Linked DNA regions of Tribolium castaneum. Each later gene encodes a partner of the first gene's protein in a complex. Links are inferred from orthologs where the notes say so. Each region holds a gene or a part of one and is shown on either strand. Other genes may lie near its edges. The genes, in order: BicD and Lis-1.

The links.
Region 2: BicD (region 1) and Lis-1 share a complex: the UniProt entries of both Caenorhabditis elegans proteins name them as parts of the dynein-regulating complex. The link is inferred for Tribolium castaneum from reciprocal best matches to the Caenorhabditis elegans genes bicd-1 and lis-1.

The regions. Positions count from the first base shown.
Region 1 is NC_087396.1:19,858,122-19,863,764, reverse strand, and holds the end of BicD (protein bicaudal D), read right to left. Parts: intron 5,344-5,643; coding exon 4,002-5,343; intron 2,466-4,001; coding exon 2,238-2,465; intron 2,189-2,237; coding exon 1,934-2,188; intron 1,888-1,933; coding exon 1,637-1,887; 3' UTR 501-1,636; downstream 1-500. UniProt on the Caenorhabditis elegans protein: Part of a complex with dlc-1 and egal-1, which is recruited to the nuclear envelope by unc-83, where in turn, it recruits dynein to the nuclear surface and regulates nuclear migration in hypodermal precursor cells.
Region 2 is NC_087399.1:2,661,379-2,674,987, forward strand, and holds the end of Lis-1 (lissencephaly-1 homolog), read left to right. Parts: intron 1-2,312; coding exon 2,313-3,239; intron 3,240-5,268; coding exon 5,269-5,465; intron 5,466-5,519; coding exon 5,520-5,593; 3' UTR 5,594-6,654; intron 6,655-6,702; 3' UTR 6,703-6,774; intron 6,775-6,909; 3' UTR 6,910-7,119; intron 7,120-7,162; 3' UTR 7,163-7,198; intron 7,199-7,245; 3' UTR 7,246-7,474; intron 7,475-7,522; 3' UTR 7,523-7,604; downstream 7,605-13,609. Other genes in the region: transmembrane protein 179, read left to right, coding at 8,043-8,152, 8,197-8,340, 8,388-8,549, 8,597-8,891; ankyrin repeat domain-containing protein 13D, read right to left, coding at 9,361-9,562, 9,663-9,751, 9,795-9,898, 10,009-10,176, 10,227-10,729, 10,777-10,954, 11,202-11,345, 11,393-11,563 and 2 more; Septin4 (septin-2), read right to left, coding at 12,308-12,367, 12,421-12,653, 12,707-12,872, 13,149-13,609. UniProt on the Caenorhabditis elegans protein: Positively regulates the activity of the minus-end directed microtubule motor protein dynein. May enhance dynein-mediated microtubule sliding by targeting dynein to the microtubule plus end.

The DNA.
Region 1 (5,643 bases):
TTGTGTTCTCAGTTTTGTTTTTATACTTTCTAATAAAATCTTCATTACTACCACTTCCAGTTTTATTATTGTGGAACTATTGCTGTTTATGAAGTGTGTGTATCAATAGATAAATAGCAAACTTATGTAATGTATATTGTAAATATGTTAGTCATTTTGCACAATAGTTTGTACATCTATTATGTAAATACGCAGAATGACAAATTTGCGAAAGACACTTCAATCGTAAAGTAGCTCTTCCAACTTCACAGTAAATTATTACTCTCTGTTTCTCTACTAGGAGGTATCATATCATTTCACGTGACTTATTTATATTTACTCATGTCTGTTTCATGTTTACATTTTCTTTTGTATGCTGTTTAATAAAAAATATTAAAATTCACGCAAACGTACTGTAATAAGAGGAACTATATTTTTTGTGATTTCTTTGAAAATATAGAATAAATATATCTTTTCTACGCATGTTTTTTTGTACATTCCCATGGGTGCAATAACGGTCCTTGTGATAAAGTAATAATTATATTAAAAATATTAGGTACAATTAAGTAACATTAACCACATATAAGCAATGTTAAAATAATTTATAACAATAAATATCAAAAAGAATATAACAGGTTAGCTGTCTGACGAACGAAACAAACAGAAGATCTAAGTTTCTGTTGGTACGTGTACCAAGTAACAAAAATATAAGTGTTAGAGCATGCACATTTCATTCTCAACATTAAGGATTTTTATATTATTGTAAGGGACGGGCATTTCCGTGGTCCATAGGCTCGGAAACAGGACAAATAATCAACAAACGTCATTTCATGATTATCATATGGACTCAGAACCAACGGAAAAGACGAATTGTGATATCATATTTACTATTAGAATGACGGCAATTCGCCGTCACTTCACAATATTATTCTTAGCCTACGTCTTAACAAGTTTTAACTATTTTTTATAAACCGTAACAATTAGATTTTAGTACCACAGTTAGAAAATAAATGTACGCAGTTTTTAATTTTTCTCGAGACGAAATGCCCTCGAGCGTAGCGCCACCGTGACCAGTCTCGAAGACTAGCGGTTTATCGAATATTATTTTAGTTCACACCACCAAAGAATGACTAACTAACGTATATTGCATGAATCCCTTGTAGGACTAAGTAGACTAAATAAATATGTTAATAACTAAAACATGGTTAAAGTCTATACATCACACGAAATATGGGTCACATCTACCAATAAATATATCATTTCATAATTAAATCCAAGTATAGGCTACTCTACCGTCATAATATTCCACTATTAATCAAGAGATATACCTTAGAAATGCTACTTGAACGTAATCTATAACTAAATCTGAATTACGAAACTTTTGGCAGCTAATTGGCCACTTTACTAAACCGAAAATTAGTACTAGCCAATACAAGTAGAATAAATTAGTCTGAGTATGCATAAAAAGTCGCCAAACCAAACACATAAATGCACAGTTTACCTCACATTTCGTTAAATAAACAATAAAATACTTGAATTTTTGTGAATTGTCACAATTCGTTACGTTATAGCCGATTAAAGTGTAGTGTTAGAAATTTCAAAGTTTAAAGAATGTGGTGATAAATGCAATCGCGTAAACCACAGGTTTCGACCTGCGCTAGAACATGTCTCTGTTCGACCGTCCAGGGCGCTGAAAATTGCGGTTGTTTGGCTTACGTGCGTTTCTGATTTCTCTGTCCACCTCCAGCTCTTCGAGCCGCTGAGTCAGACCCAGCTTTTGCTGAACGGCTAATCTCAACAGCTGGTTCAAAGTCTTCTTCTCTTCTTCGGCTGCGCTCAACTGCTGCTGGAGCTCGTCGACTTGCGTCACGTACTCTTCGCAACGGGCGGCAAACATCGCACGCAAACCTTTAATAATTTTCGTAAAATTTAAACTGAACCAAATCCACCTTACTTGAAAATGTGGCTGCGTCCTCCTTCAACATTCGCAACTCGTTTCGGAGCTTCATCATCGTCTCGGATACAATTGTTTTCTCGTTTTCGTACTTGGCTTTGAGGTTCGTCAGTGCCACTTCGGCAGTATTTTTGTTTGATTTTAGGACGGTTCGTAACGTGGCAATCTGTTCGCGTTTGGTCGACAGCAAACTCTTCAATCTTATGACTTGCTCTTGTAATTCGGCGATTTCTTCGCTGTTTTCATCTTTGCTTGCTAATAAAAAGTGTTACAAAATGACTGACTGTTTTTTTACCTAACTCACATTCATATAATCCATTCGATTTTTCCCTCTTTGTTTTCGATAATTCGATGGTATTTTCAATGGCGTTTCGGAGATGTTTGATTTGGTCCACGATGGTGCAAACATTTCGAGCGACAACAGCCGCGTCATTTAAGACTTCAAGATCGTGCAAGGGAATGTCGCTCTTGAGGCGGCTTCGCAACAATTCGATTTTGGACATTTCGCCAATTGGTGGCGCAGTTTCCGACACTGAAAATCAGAAATTTAAACCGTGACCTGGCCTCGACATTTTAATTACATAAAAAGGCCGAATTTAAATAAAAATGAGACAAAAAATTGAAGTCCGATAAAACATTAAATTCGTGAATGAAAGCATCTGCTTACGTGATCAGTTAATCAGCAATTTAATTGCGGATTAAATTAATTCTTCTATAAGCCAATCCTTAATACAATAAATAAATAATGATTATTATTACAAAAATTCAACCAGATAAATATTTTAAAAACTACAAATTAGCAATTATTATTATTATTGGCTCTGAACTTTATTTTTCATAACAAAAAACGTGTAAAGAACACATATCTCATCTTTGACGCTTTTGATTTAAATTGCTTCTCCCCGATAACGAATCATCTTATGGTGGCCAAGACTTTTTTTAAAAAAGATTTTATTATTTTTATTTTCTAGTAATTGTATTTTTAACTCTACTAGTTTATCATTTTTTTCTCATGTTTTCCATGGAAAATTTTAGTCGTTAGCTTTCTTTTTTTCCAAATAAATAGTGAACCGGCTGAATTAAATAACTGGTTGGATGAAATTACGCAGAGATAACTAAATGTATTCTATTTCGAACAAATTTTTCGAATTTGTGATTAAACATAATACGTAATCATAACGATAAAAGAATTATTTTTTATTTATTTCAATTAAACATAAATGTAACGAACTAAAGTGTAAAACGACTTTATAAAAGATAATTTTTTTAACATTATACTCGTAGAGAAGCTTAATAAGTGTAAAGGACAAAATTATAGAAAATTAAAATGCCTACAAACGGCTTATTTTAGCCGATTTATTGCTTAGAAGTAAGCAAACTTACACAAAACAGATTGAAAACGACATATTTTGACTTAAAATAGAAAGTTAAGTAATAGTTTGGATGAAAATGGTTTATTTCAAACGATTCTTTACTTAGAACGGAGAAAACTTCATAAAACACACTGAAAACGCCATATTCTAACTCAAAAGAACAAATTATGTTTTAATTTAGATGAAAACGGCTTATTTCGAAAGATTCTTTGCTTAGAAATGAGTCAACAGACTGAAAACGCCATATTCTGGCTCAAAAGAACGAGTTATGCTATAGTTTGGATGAAAACGCCATATAAGAGTTTATTGTATCGGAATTTTAGTCATCAGTTTTTTTCAGCTTATTATGAATTTGATTCTCCACAGCCTTCCCTTTTTTTTCAAGCAATTGATGAAAATAATAGTTGAATTTTAATTAATTTAAAACTGCTTGAAGTCTCGTTTCTCGTGTCTAATTTTTCGTAAGAAAAACGCACTTTTTGCAAGAATTATTATTACTGGTATACATAGAAAAAAAAACTCAACTTAATTTTCGGTCAAAGTTATCTCTCATAATTTAATTTTAAATAACAAGAGGTCAGGATTTAAGGGATTCAATTACTTTAAAACAATTTGGTGCCGAAACGAAATATTTTTGAGTACGAAAATTTTTAATACCGTTTCGCCTCTTAGTTTTATACAACTAAGCCACTTACTAGGCGTCATTCCTTCCTTCTCGTGATCCAAAACCACTCTCGTGGGCGTCTCCCCGTTAACAGTACACACATGATGGTACAACTGAGCAAGCTCATCAGTAACAGTTTGTAAATTATTCTGAGTTTCATCCAATGAAGTTCCAGCTTCACTAGCAAACTCTCTCAACAATTTCAAATCGGCCTCCAAGTCCATACTCCTCTGCTCCGTATCCGACAACTTATTTTTCAAATTCGTGATTTCGGTGCGCAGCTGTAGGGTAGCGTCTGAGATATTCGTCAACTTCTCCAATTCACGAATATCCTGCTTCAGCTGTTCGATCTCTTTACAGGACATTTTGAACCACTGCTGGTACTGATTTAGAATTTTACCAGCCTCTTGTGCCGGTTGGGATACATTTTTGTCAACATTCTGCGACAAATGCTGCAAAGAATCGACATGAGCCGCCAGTTGTGTCAGTCTTGCAATGAAAACTTGTAGTTCGCCTTGACTCTTCTCCACCATTGCCTGGTTATCGCGCAAATTTTGTGTCAGAGTTAGTTTTTCCTTCTCCAGTTGTTCCAACTGCTTTTCCAACTTTCTCAGTTCGTTCAAGTGGACTTCGGAGAACAAATCGACCTGTTTATCGTCAGGCGAAGCCAATTCTGAGGCACTTCCACTCCCCAAAGTCGCCTCCAGCCGCTTCAAGCCGGGAATATCGTCCTCACCGTCACTCCCCAAAGTCGGCTCATCGCTCATTCCCCGAATACTGTACGCCAGATTATTGATATTGTAGAACGTGTCTCGGTTAATATGTTGGTCCAGTTCCTTCTTCAGCGCGTATTTGGCCTCACGTTCGGCTTGCAGCGACTCCAAGGCCTCCTCCATGTGTTTCTCGGCGATTTTCTTCAAGTTTGTCAGCTCTTCCACCTGGAGGTTCAACAGTTCCATTTCTTCGTGCAGTCGCCGGATCTCGTGTTTTAGACTTTCAAACTCCACTTGCGAGCTTTTTAAAGCTGAGACTTGTTTTTGTAAGGCTATGTTCTCTTCTTCTAGCTCGGCGTAGTCGTTGATCAAACGATTTTCTCGAAATTTGATTTCGCGGAGTTCCGTTCGTAATTTCTTGCACTCCATGCTTCGATCTTCCTTGTCTTTGCCCATATCGGTGTTCTCCTGCAGCATGCGGTCTCGCTCGGTGGTGACGCGGTCCAACTCATGACGCAGCTGCTTTATTTCGTTTTCCAATTCGATTATTTGGGAATTGAGCGATGTTTCGCGCGCGGCGGATTCAGATAGCAGGGATTCTTCCGTTTCTATTCCAGTTTTAGTTGTTACTTTATGACTAGATTGGAACTTTGCCAAGGCCTATAAAACAAAAAGATAATAAATAAGTAACGCTTTCAATAATTTTAAAAGGAGCTTTCATCATGGGCTAATTTTAATCAGCTGAAGATAAGAATACAACGGTCGAAATATGAAAGCAATTTATGCAAAAATGTAGAAGTGTTTGCGAGACTGCTAACGCACGCTCCTACATAACAATTCAGTCACAGTAACTGAACCAAAACCAATTATAAAGTATGAATAAATAATAATAATGAGAACATCAACTGTGATACCACTCTAATTCCAATTTTTCACGGCTTAAAGGGTTAATGCGAATAA
Region 2 (13,609 bases), on another chromosome or scaffold:
GGGACGAAAAAACCGAATTACGATACGTGTGTAGTATTTTCACTTTTAGAAAGTCCGAAAATTCGTCGAGTCGCACGCTGAATTATCAAACAAAAGAAAAACGGAATTTCAAATTTCTCTCGCAGGATGTAAGTAATTAAAGTGAAAAAAATATGTAGGGGAGGTCGGCTACAGTTAGGGATTAACCGTAAGAGAGTGTAGTGAACTTGAAAGTAATTTTCAGGTTATCTCGGTCAATCGCTTTCAGAACGCTCCAAGGAACGCAAAAATAATGCGAGGAGTGGTTTATTATCGGAAAATTTTTCGTATTATAATATTTAAGGGAGTTGTCCTTGCGAATCGTAGGCGGCGTTGCTGAAAATCAATACAGATCGGGACGTCACTGCGTAGTTACGGACGCTACCGTCTTTTTTTTTTTTTTTTCATTGCCAAGGTGACGTTTGTTTACGAGGGTGTTAAAATAGCCGCCGCCTCGGATATTTTTGATAATTGCAGCGTAATGAACTTGGGGGATTACATACTTGTCTGGCGGATGTCTTAAAATATCTCGAGAGGGGCAAAAAATTAATTAACGACGGGAACTGTTTTTGTTAATTAACTCTACGAGTTGTTTATTGTTCTAATTGACTAAAATTGGTTAAGGATTGAAAGTTAAAAGTGAAAGGTTGTTAGAACTGACAGATGATGATTTAATTATTAGTGCTAATTTTTTTGGAGGCGACAGTGGGTCACCGATAAAAATATAATTGGAAAACATTGTCATTGATAAAATACGTTGATACATATTTCGCTTTAAAATATCAATAAATAATCGTCGAGGTCAGTTCGCGTGACCACAGAGAGGATTTCACTTTTTAAACAGGTGTTGAATAATAAAAAAACTATTTGTTTGAATAGAGTAAAAAATAATTGATAATTTTGTAATTGACTTGGGAAACATTTTATTGCACAGTTTTGCAGTTTTACGTAAAAACGACTCAAGAACTTCCGAGTAAATCGAGGATAGTAAGTTCCTGTTACTTCCGGTAATTACAAATATGGGAAGAAAACTGAAGTTACAAGAACATTACACGATTCTAGGCCTCGTCTTGTTTATTTATTTACCAGTGAAGGTTTTGTTTTATTTGTTTTTCCATACATCTAAATATTTTATGTGGCTTGTAAACAGTTTTTGAATAATTAGATTTTTCTGTCCAGAAAAAAATTAATAAAATTAAAAAATCCTCTAATTCCCAAAAATTTCGAAATCCTTAATCCTTGAAAACTATCCGGGACTTGTCTACTATTGCTTTTCTTCAATAATTTCTTATTTTTAAATTTAAAAAAGAAAACATAAATTTTTATACTTTGTCTTCTTGTATATAATTGAAAATTTTGGGGATTTTCCAGAAAAATCGGGTCGTAGCTCCATAATTTTAATTGCAAATGTCTTATGTTCAAAAATTGTCTTTGGAATTTTTAAATTTTAACCGATATTTGGACAAATCTACATCCTTTAGATTTTTTAAATAAAGTTTTAAAAAATAGATAAAAAAATAGTCACAAATTTTGAGAACCACTGAACTGGTATAGAAAACCGCTGAAAAAAACTAGCTTGTATTTTTAATTAAAAAACGGCAGACGTAAATTAACTTTTTGGTTCACTCCACATGTCATTTTGTGTTTTCTTTATTAAATTTTATGAAAAAAACAAAAATGTGCCAAACCGGGATTCGAACCTCCTTCTCAGATAAATATGCTAACAACAAGTTTGAAACATTTTTCGTGTAATAATGTTTATTTAAAGGAAAACTTTTTTATAAAATAGTATGTATAGTATATAAAATTACAAAACCAACGAAAAATAAAAGTAAATTCTAAAATTAATTGATTTATTATTATTTTTTATTAATATCTGAACTTTGAATTTGTCTAATTTTTAAGCAAATAAAACTATTTTTTTGGGTGTATTTTTTTCAAAAATTCAAGTTTTTGGAATTTTTTGAAATTATCGGTTATTAAAATAATTTCTGTATGTTATAGTTTTTTGTCTTAATTTGTAGAAATCGATTTATTAATTTTTTTTTATTAATTTGTCGCAAAATCAGGTCTCGGAATTTGCTGAGTTTGCTTTTGTTTCTTTAATGACTCTCTTTATTGATTTTAAGCAAAACCTTGAATTCGTTTGTTATTTTTACGTCGTTTGACCGTGAGCTATTGATTCATGTAAATTTTCTTTTATTAATAAAATACTCGTCTCGTCCATATAATAAGACCCCCTTACATCACCCACATTTGTGTTTATTTTATTACATCACTTGTGATTTTTGCAGTAACAAAGCCATCGCTGATTACCTCAGTAGCAACGGTTACATGAACGCACTAGAAGCGTTCAAAAAAGAAACGGACATGCCCGGCGAACTCGAGCGCAAATTCGGCGGTCTTCTCGAAAAAAAATGGACATCTGTGATACGTCTCCAGAAGAAAGTGATGGAACTCGAATCGAAACTCCACGAAGCCGAAAAGGAATACATCGAGGGGGCACCAACTCGCGGCAAACGCAGTCCAGCCGAATGGATCCCCAGACCCCCTGAGAAATACGCCCTGACGGGGCACCGAGCCCCCGTCACACGTGTCATATTCCATCCGTTGTTTAGTCTCTTTGTATCGACAAGTGAAGATGCTACGATTAAAGTCTGGGATTTTGAGACAGGGGAATACGAGAGGACCCTCAAAGGCCACTCGGATGCCGTTCAAGACGTCGCTTTCGACGCCACAGGAAAACTGCTAGTTTCCTGTAGCGCCGATATGTCGATTAAATTATGGGATTTCCAACAGAGTTACGAATGCATCCGAACGATGCTCGGGCATGATCACAATATATCATCGGTGGCGTTCATGCCAGCGGGGGATTTTGTCGTTTCGTCAAGTCGCGATAAAACCATCAAAATGTGGGAGGTTTCGACCGGTTATTGTGTCAAAACCTTTACAGGACACAAGGATTGGGTCAGAGTTGTGCGGCCATCGCCCGATGGTCAACTCTTGGCCAGTTGTTCCAACGATCAGACCATCAGAATATGGCAGGTTTATACGAAGGAATGTCGAGCTGAGTTGAGAGCACACGAACACGTTGTCGAATTCGTAGCATGGGCACCTGATTCGGCTGCGAATGCCATCAATGAAGCGGCAGGAGTCGATAATAAGAAGGGGGCACATATGGGACCGTTTCTGGCGTCGTGTTCCAGGGATAAGACGATCAGGTGAGAGGGGGCCGCGTTTTACGCCTAAACTAGACGGCCGAAAATTTTGATAAAATCACAGCTAAGACAAAAGGGCGTGGGGCACGTCGTGGCCAAATTTGAACAAAATCGAACGAGCGGTTTCCGAGATATTGACACTTGTAGCTGGGAGGGGGGGTCAGCTGTAACACCAAAACTGGGCGTTCAAAAAATTTGGAAAAATCACAGTAGGGGCAAGGAGGGCTGAGCTACGCTTGGTGCAAATTTGGAGGAAATCAAATCATCGGTTTGCGAAATACTGGGGGTTGAATTTGAGGAGATTGGTCACGTGTAACATTGAAACTCTACGTTCAAAAAATTTGGAAAAATTACAGTAGAGGGCAAAGGGGCTGAGCTATATCTAGTACAAATTTGGACGAAATCGAACGATCGGTTTGCGAAATATCGGGGGTTGAGCCTGGGAGGGGGGCCGCTTGTAACACCGAGACTGGGCGTTCAAAACATTTGGAAAAATCACAGTAGGGGCAAAGGGGGCTGAGCTACGCTTGGTGCAAATTTGGAGGAAATCAAATCATCGGTTTGCGAAATACTGGGGGTTGAATTTGAGGAGATTGGTCACGTGTAACATTGAAACTCTACGTTCAAAAAATTTGGAAAAATTACAGTAGGGGGCAAAGGGGCTGAGCTACGCTTGGTGCAAATTTGGAGGAAATCAAATCATCGGTTTGCGAAATACTGGGGGTTGAATTTGAGGAGATTGGTCACGTGTAACATTGAAACTGTACGTTCAAAAAATTTGGAAAAATTACAGTAGGGGGCAAAGGGGCTGAGCTATATCTAGTACAAATTTGGACGAAATCGAACGATCGGTTTGCGAAATATCGGGGGTTGAGCCTGGGAAGGGGGCCGCTTGTAACACCGAGACTGGGCGTTCAAAACATTTGGAAAAATCACAGTAGGGGCAAAGGGGGCTGAGCTACGCTTGGTGCAAATTTGGACGAAATCAAACCACCGGTTTGCGAAATACTGGGGGTTGAATTTGAGGAGATTGGTCACGTGTAACATTGAAACTCTACGTTCAAAAAATTTGGAAAAATTACAGTAGAGGGCAAAGGGGCTGAGCTATATCTAGTACAAATTTGGACGAAATCGAACGATCGGTTTGCGAAATATCGGGGGTTGAGCCTGGGAGGGGGGCCGCTTGTAACACCGAGACTGGGCGTTCAAAACATTTGGAAAAATCACAGTAGGGGCAAAGGGGGCTGAGCTACGCTTGGTGCAAATTTGGCGGAAATCAAATCATCGGTTTGCGAAATACTGGGGGTTGAATTTGAGGAGATTGGTCACGTGTAACATTGAAACTCTACGTTCAAAAAATTTGGAAAAATTACAGTAGGGGGCAAGGGGGCTGAGCTACGCTTGGTGCAAATTTGGAGGAAATCAAATCATCGGTTTGCGAAATACTGGGGGTTGAATTTGAGGAGATTGGTCACGTGTAACATTGAAACTGTACGTTCAAAAAATTTGGAAAAATTACAGTAGGGGGCAAAGGGGCTGAGCTATATCTAGTACAAATTTGGACGAAATCGAACGATCGGTTTGCGAAATATCGGGGGTTGAGCCTGGGAAGGGGGCCGCTTGTAACACCGAGACTGGGCGTTCAAAACATTTGGAAAAATCACAGTAGGGGCAAAGGGGGCTGAGCTACGCTTGGTGCAAATTTGGACGAAATCAAACCACCGGTTTGCGAAATATTGGGGGTTGAATTTGAGTAGATTGGTCACGTGTAACATTGAAGCTCTACGTTCAAAAAATTCGGAAAAATTACAGTAGGGGGCAAAGGGGCTGAGCTATATCTAGTGCAAATTTGGACGAAATCGAACGATCGGTTTGCGAAATATCGGGGGTTGAGGCTGGGAGGGGGGCCGCTTGTAACACTGAGACTGGGCGTTCAAAAAATTTGGAAAAATCACAGTGGGGAGTAGGGGGGTTGAGCTACGCTGTGTGTAAGTTAGGGCGGAATTGTATGTTGGGGAACTTTGTTTTGTAGGATATGGGATGTGGGCGCCGGCGTGGCTCTCTTCGTGCTGATTGGCCACGACAATTGGGTGCGAGGGGCAGTTTTCCATCCGGGTGGTAAATTTTTAGTGTCGGTTAGTGACGACAAAACGTTGAGAGTTTGGGATTTGCGAAATAAGCGCTGTTTAAAGACGTTAGATGCTCACAAACACTTTTGTACGTCTGTAGGTAAGTTGGTTGAGGTTTTGTTGCAGGGTTTGTTCTGATTGGTGGTCGTTTCAGATTTCCACAAATCACATCCTTATGTGATTTCGGGGAGTGTAGATCTAACGGTGAAAGTGTGGGAATGCCGTTAAGTTATAGTAAAACTTTTTTTTCACGGTTGCAGTGTAATTTAATTATTTAAGCCAAAACATTTATTCCTTTACGAAAGGTTTTATTTAGTGCAAATTCAGTTATTAAACTATTTTTTTGTGATTTGTTTTGTTTCATTAAAATTGGATTTGAGGTCTGGAATTTTTTTTCTTTTAAGTGTGAGTGACTTGTAGTTTCCGTTTAGAACAAAGTTTATTTTTGTTATATTACGATCGGTTTTTTTGTGATATATTTTTATTAGAAACTGCAAGTTAGTTATTCTTAATAAATGCTTCAGATATTTAATAAACAGGCAGTGGATATTGATGAAGTTATTATTGACACGTCTCGGTATTTTCTTGTTGTTTATTATTTTCGTTTGTTTCAAATGTATCGTGATGTGTTGGAAATGAATTCATGAAAAATTGTAGAGCTTTTTCAGTTCAGTTATTAGACACTATTTATAGGGGAAGAAATTAATATCATGTTGGTATTAATTTTTTGACATTTTAATGACAGTCGCAACTAGGTAACTATAATCCCTCTCAATGTAGATCTTGAAAATGTATATTGCACAAGTCCCGCTTAATCAGTGAAAATTATGTATTTTTTTTAATACTCATTTCATGTTTAACAAATTGATTTCCAGTAATTGTTTTAATAAAAACATCCCAAAATCGCTTGCTTACGATGTATAGTGGCACAATGTTCGTATATAGCCTTACATTGTTTTTTCGAGTAGGATATGTGAATATTTTCTTCTGTATATAAAAATAAAATTGTCTCCTTACAAGTTGTTTTATTGCCATCCCAGTCAAGACAAAAAGATTTGAATTTGGCGCTAAGGCGTAAATGGCATGTGTTGACACTTGCGCACGCGCTACTGGTTTTCAACAGCTGATTGTAAGCAAAAATTGTTTATTTTGCAAAATTACAATTTCTGAAGTTTTTGAAATATTGTGCGACCAACTGTTTACTGCATGATGCACATCGAGGACGAATTGATGGAAGAATCAGTTGATTTAATCAAAGAAGAACTAAAAACGGAACAAGAGCCGTACAAGTAAAAAACACCCTTTATTTAGTTATTTATAAAAAAAAATTGTTACAGCAAACTTTCATTAAATCCGTTAAAAATTAGCTCTATGAAGATGAAAATACGTGAAAAATTAGTCGTGCCGTGGTAATTATAACCATTTCATTTTATTTATTGATTGTTACGAAAGTTTGGTTAGTCTTTTTGACAGTATCGGGTCACGTGACCCATTTTTGACCAATCATGTGTCGTTTTAATGGCGCCAAATTTACAATATTTTAGTGAGCCCAAACCTTTAAGTCCCGTTAAGAAAATTAAAATGTTGAGGAAAAAACCAAAACCGATAAATTTCACAATTAGGAATGAAACGGAAACCAAAAGTGAAAATTTAGTCCAGCCCAAAGTGCAAACAATTAGTCAGACGTTAACTAATAACGGAAAATGTGTTTCCACTGGTGAAAATTTGACTGAAATCACAAGAAACACGAAAAAGTAGGTGTCTTCTGTGTTTTTCTTTCCTGATAATTTGTTTTAGTGAGCCAAAGACTGTTAGCCGTGCCCGCAATTTTAGGTATTTCTCTCCTGAAAAAAAATCCGGTTGTGATTAATGGTTTTCAGGCCGCGGAATGCAGCAATTCAGTTTAAGGAACAGCACCTGAAAAACCCCAGTGCCGCGAGACAAATGTGGCGAGTCGCCACTGCAGTGATAGAACAACAAAAAAAAGTTATAGCAAATTTGGAAAGTAAAAACGAGAGGCTTTGCAAGAGAAATAAACTGCTAGAAGCCGCGCTTGACGACATACAGAACTCGGCAAACACGCCCGGAAATTGCTACATTTTGCTCAAAGTAATTTTTTTAATTTATTCAATTTTTTGCTAATTTGTGCGATTCCAGAAACCGGGCGAATATTTCATCAAATGGGGTTAGATTGGATTCGTTGGAAAAGTTTTGTGGTTAATAAAGCAATTAAAACCTTTTTTGTGTTTTATTCAACCTATGATTCAAAATGACAAGCTCAGAAACAACTAAAATTTGGCTTCTTGGGTATTCCAAAGTCACAGAAAACAATTTTATCGCTAGAAACTGTGTGTGTTGTAATTAAAAGTGATTTAATAAATAATTTTACAATAAAATGCAGTTTGAATTTCGTCCTGTTAAGTTCAGCCAACCTGACCATTCAAAACCAGTCACGAATTTAAATGTTAGACGCACTAAACGAACGAATTATTTATTCACCTGTTACGAATTTATTCATTACCTGACGAGACATGCGGCTACTTAACGCCCCTTTTATTTTCTCTTTACAACAGTTTGAGTGTTGATTGATGAGGTTGGCGCCTCTGGTTGTCAGTCACCAAAATAACAAACGTCAAATTTTAATGTTTTTTAAGGCGTAAAAGCGCAACAAAAAGTGATGGCTTTAAGTAATATCGTATTGCTTAGCCAAATCGCCGGTTATGTGATAGCTTTTATCTTATCGTTATGCATAGTTGTTCCTATGAGTTTGCACCAGGATGAATTCAGGTTAGTGGCTCCTTTGTTGCCAAAACTACAATATCTCGTTCCAGGGGTCATTGCTTGTTGTTTTCGACCGGCGTGTGGCAGGAGGCCGACGGCCAGTTGAAAGTCGACTGGGCTTCGCAGTGCTACTGCAACTACACGATTTTTGTAGGCGTGTTGTTATGTTTAGTCTCAATCGTGCAAATCTATCGGTAGGCGAAGCCCCAAGTCTTCAACCAGCTCACTAATATCTTTCCAGCTTGTCGCTGTTCTTGTACAAAGGCACCGATAGCAGTTTTTTGTCCGCGTTCTTTGACGTCCTCACAGGCATTATTTTGTGCGGCATGACCATAATCGCAGCTTTGATGATTACTTTGGGGTTCATGGTGTGGTGCCAGAACATGACCCAACGATTCCCCTCGTAAGCCGAACACATCGTGCTTAGGAGCCACTAATCGCTCGTTTCAGGTGCGAATTAGCAGCTGGTCAAGCGATTGATAAACAGGACGGTATTAACACCACCAATTTTTACATCGAGTTGGGGACTGCACAGTTTGGCGTTTGGGGCTCCTTTGCCACGTGGGTGGGGCTGTCCGTGTTCGCACTTTTGAAGCTGTGCCGCTACCACCAGTTGGAAAATATCAGAGTGTCAATGTACAGAGAACGGCAGAGACTGATCAACGAAAACTCAGAGTCGCCTGGAAGCTCGCTAGGTCGTGAGTCCACACACAGTCAAGACACCACGGCCACAGCCGCCGAGTGATTAGTTTCCGGCGTCTTGAGGTGTCCTTATTTTATAATTTACGCAATAATTCACATCTCACTTCTCATACATAACACTGTGTACCAAATAGTCGGTTTTAATTGAGTATATTGTGATAATATAATAGAGATTAGCGGCTTTTTCAAGTTGATTTTATAAGAATAAATCATTTTATTGGAAGAAACATTTTATTAAAGATTATGTACATATCGTTAACAAACAAAATTGATTTACTGTGTCACTTAAGCACCTGTTACATGGTACGTTATAAATAAAACTCTGAACATCATAATAAATAATAGGAACGATCAAATAACCGAAACTGTGATTAAGTATAACCCGGAGCATTGATTTGGAATATAAAGTTACAATGATTAAGTCAAAAGAACGAGCTTTGTTATCATCCCAAAGCTATTGCTACGAATGAGGTATGAAAAAATTTCGTTAAAAATGTATATTTTGGCCCTAATTATTTCTCCGTCAGAGACAATTGTAGTATTTCCTCAAGGATTTTTTCCTCTTGCAATCTTTGCTCTTCCTGCTTTCGGCGTTCCTGCTCTGACAGCATGAGAGCCATGTGCAGGTCCGAATCTATGTCAGGATCAGCGGCCGCGTTAGTCTCACTGCTATCTGTACTCTTTTGATAAAGCTCTAAACTGGCCTGAATAGCTCTACAACAAAGTGTCTTACTTGCAGCTAGTTAAGCAAAAAGCGGAGATAATTGATTAAACCACTAAACAATTTTTTGACAATTTTGTTATTAATAAGTACCTTTGCAACTGCCTTTCCTCCTCACCTACGAGGTTTGGAGTCGCAGGTCGCGACGGTTTCTGGGCTTTCAAGGCCTCCCAAATGTCCACCTGTAACTGAGTTAACAAAACGACAAACAATTCGTAAAATCACCTCTTCCTTTTCCGTCCCGGCATCAATTAAACTCTGCTGAATTGCAAATTGTAACAAATCGTCTTCCTCTTCCATACTGAACTGTCTGCGGCCGTCGGACGCAGCTGGAATTTTTCCGAAATTAGTGTCGAATCATTTAAAATTGAAATGATGATATGAAGCGAGTAAAATCAAACGAAATAAAAAAAAAACAAAATAATGACCCGTGCATTACCATTACCAATCTGAGAATATCCTGAGGGACATTGGAAAATACACTCGTCTAAAACACACGTTAATCTGTCCTCTTCCTGTATCCGGTGGACGTGCGCCACTTCCGCGTCTATACCGAAAATGTTGCCGAATGTTATCCTCGCGTTTAGCACGTGAAAGAGGGGGATTTCTGCAACGAAAAGCAAAAAAATCAGATTTTTTTAACAAAAGTAATCTTACCGATTTTGACGGGGAAACCCGACGGCAGCTGCATCTGTATAAAGTCCTTCAATTTGGCGAAATGCGAGCTAGAAATGGCCATTAGATCGACAATTGGAAGAATCTGTTCGGGCAGCGATAGGGGGTATTGCTCACACAGCCATAAATTCGCTTTGAATTTCTGCACTTTAACGCTAATTTCTTTAGGTCGGCCAATGTCTCGATTTTGTAAATTCACCGCCGAGTCGAAATACTCCTCGGGTGTTATATTACACGGATTACTGGACTTTGTGTATTCGTTTTGAAGGGCTGCGGCTGCTTGATTCTCTTCAACTTCCGCAATGCCTAGAAAATTCTGTAGTGGTGTTTTATTATTTCTACTTCGGGCTTTATCGCTTTCGGTTAAATGTTCGGTTCGTGTTTTCGTCACCAGTTCCACGTTCGACGCACTGAAGACTTTACACTCGTGCCCGTTCACCGCTTCACTTTTATCAGATCTCCAGCCCCACATGCCCGCTTTATTCCTGCATCGTACAATTATTAAAGAAATTAAATAGAGATTTTAAGTTGCCTCTCGAAACTGATCTTGTCCGTGTCCACGTATGTCGTGACTATGGGGGTTGTCAGTCTTTGAGAGACCGATTCTTCGGTTGGGATTAAAACGCCAAGAGCCTCGTCAGGCGCCTTCATCTCCTCACAATAGACCTGTTGGATGTCATGGTCGATTTCCATCATTGTTGCCCCATCACCTAATTATTACAATTATCATCAAAGCGAGCTGCATACACTATTTTTTCTACGATCCAGCGGTCATTATAATTTTTTTTTCTGACTAGTTACAAACTTGTATATAATCAACAACTGCTACCTCAAGCTTGCTACGAGTTACCCGTTCCGTTCAGCTTATAAACATAGCTCCGTTGGCCCCGTATTGGCGAGCACATTTGTAAGACTGTCCAATTTAGTTAACGCAGACCGAACTAATTAATTACTCACTGTGGCCTTGGAACACGTAGCTTCTGTTGCCCCTCTGCCAGCTCGTGTGGTCAAAGCCTAGCAAAGTGGTGTCTATCCGGACATTAGAGCCTTGTTTGAAGACTTTGTAAGTGTCGCTGGGGCACATTCGTGAGACCAGAGGCACTGGAAAAATTCCACTCTAAACGTGTTAGTGTTTTTGGGTTTGTTACCCCAACTAGTGAACTCCCACTTCATTTCCACGTAAAAATCTGGCGCTTCTTTGAGTTTCTGGAGCAGTTCTGGAATGCCAGCCATGCGGTTCGAATATCGTTGAAAATCGCGCCGTTCTAAAACCATATGTAACAGTTCCGGGTCACCCGTGGCCACTGCCTCTTGTACAACTGCAAAAAAACCGTGTCGGAAATTCGGGAAGGCTTATCTTAATCCGATTACCAGTCCAGCCATCTGCATTTTCACAGTTTACGTTGGCTTCGTTATTCAATAACGAACGAGCTGACTCTAAATGGCCCAAGGTGACGGCTAGCATTAGCGGGGTTCGCCCTCGATTGTCCAACTTTTCTTTATCGTCCTGCAGTGGCATTCAAGTCTAGCTAACGCACCAAATAAAGCAATTCGTTACCTCTTTCTTTTTCAGTAAAATATCCAACTGTTTATAGTCGTTCTGCCACACCAACCAGTGTAAAGGGTATTCTTTTTGGATGAAGTCGATTTCGACCATTTTTTCAAGTGTTTTAGCACCGAGTACGTTTTATATTGACGGAAACATGGTCACACTTTGCTGTTTACAAGCGATGACGACGAAATTAACACTTTAATTTTTGAAATGACAGATGTGCTATCTACCAGACGCCATATTTGATTGATGAGTCAGAAACGTCAAAATACGCTAAAGGAGCATTCACACGGACAGCCGTGCCGGGTTCACACGGCTAGTCCAGGCTTCACCTTTTCAAAATAAAATGTTACCAATGAAACACGTCTCGTTCTAATAAATATTTATTCAAATAACATATAAAATAACATAAATCCAATATAAATATGGAAAAACGTGAAATTAAATTAAGTCTTTGGTAGGTAAAACATCAACTATAGCGCGTCTAATTGATTGAAGTTAATACTGCTGCTTAAGCGTTGCCTTTGAGTTTCTCTTGCATCTGGTTCAGCATTTCTTGCATTCGCCGGATCTGCAATAATGAACAGTTTATTAAAAAAAATTGATTACAAATGTGATGATTACTTCTTGGTCCTTTTGGAGCAGCAACCGGTCGGTTTCTGAGCAATCCGAGTCGTAGGGGGCTGAGTCCCTCTTCAACTTCCCCCTTTCCCGGGCGTGTTGCGAAATTTGCGAGATACATTGTGCTCGGAAATTCTCATAGTGAACATCTTCGGTGACATCTTTGAGATCTTGCATGTGCGTGGAGATTAGCATCGTTCTTAACTTAATAAAATCGCTGTGTTTCGGGTTTTCGACTAAAATTTTTTTTTGGTAAATTCAATGGTTTATTTTTTTGGTGTTTTTTTACCATCGACCACTCCCCATGGATATTGGCGCCCCCTGACTTTCCTACCAGCCACTTCTAAAATCGTGTTACTGCCAACAACAGCAAAGGGAACACTCGCTTTCAGTTCCCGGTCTTGTTGCTTGAATTCTTCGTCTTCGTCGCTGTCGCATTCGGGGAATTCGTACATCTGTAATTTCGCGAAAAATATTGTTTTTTCAGTAACAGATAAGATGCTATCAAATTGGGGTGATGGCGAACTTATCAACTTAAGCAAATATGCTCAAAAAGTAAAATCAACTGAAACTAACGTTTTATTCTTGCAAAACAAAAGTTGTGCTCATTTTTTTTCGCCGAGACTATTTTTTGAATTCAGAAAATCCTGTATTAACAGCACAGTTTACCCAAAACACGCACAAATATGTAAATAAAAGGTGAATAAACAGTAGTTTTTTCGTACGGTTACCTGAATTTCGTGCTCTCTAATATCGTTGATAATATTCTGCTTGAGCTTGGCGATCTCTGAGCTGGTGAGGCAGTCGGCCTTGGCGATGACCACCACGATATTGACTTTCTGGTGCAGCCGCTTCATCAGCTCCAGGTCCATCTGCCTCAGACTGTGTCCCCAAGGCGGGACAAAGTAGAGACAGCAATGGACCCGATTATCCTGGATATTCCGCCTATTTAGCCCGCTTTCGTCGGTGAAGTATTGTCTGAATTGATCGTCAATGTAGTTTGTGCACACTTTCCAGCTGTCTTCACAGTTAACAGCGTCTCCGAAGCCAGGTGTGTCGATTACGGTCAGGCGGAGTTTCACTCCGCGTTCCTCGATTTCCATCGTTTTTTTCTCGATGGAAGTCGTTTTCTGGATGCGTTCGCTGACATCGGGGATTTTGCGATTTTTGTAGAGGTCATCCAGGAACAGAC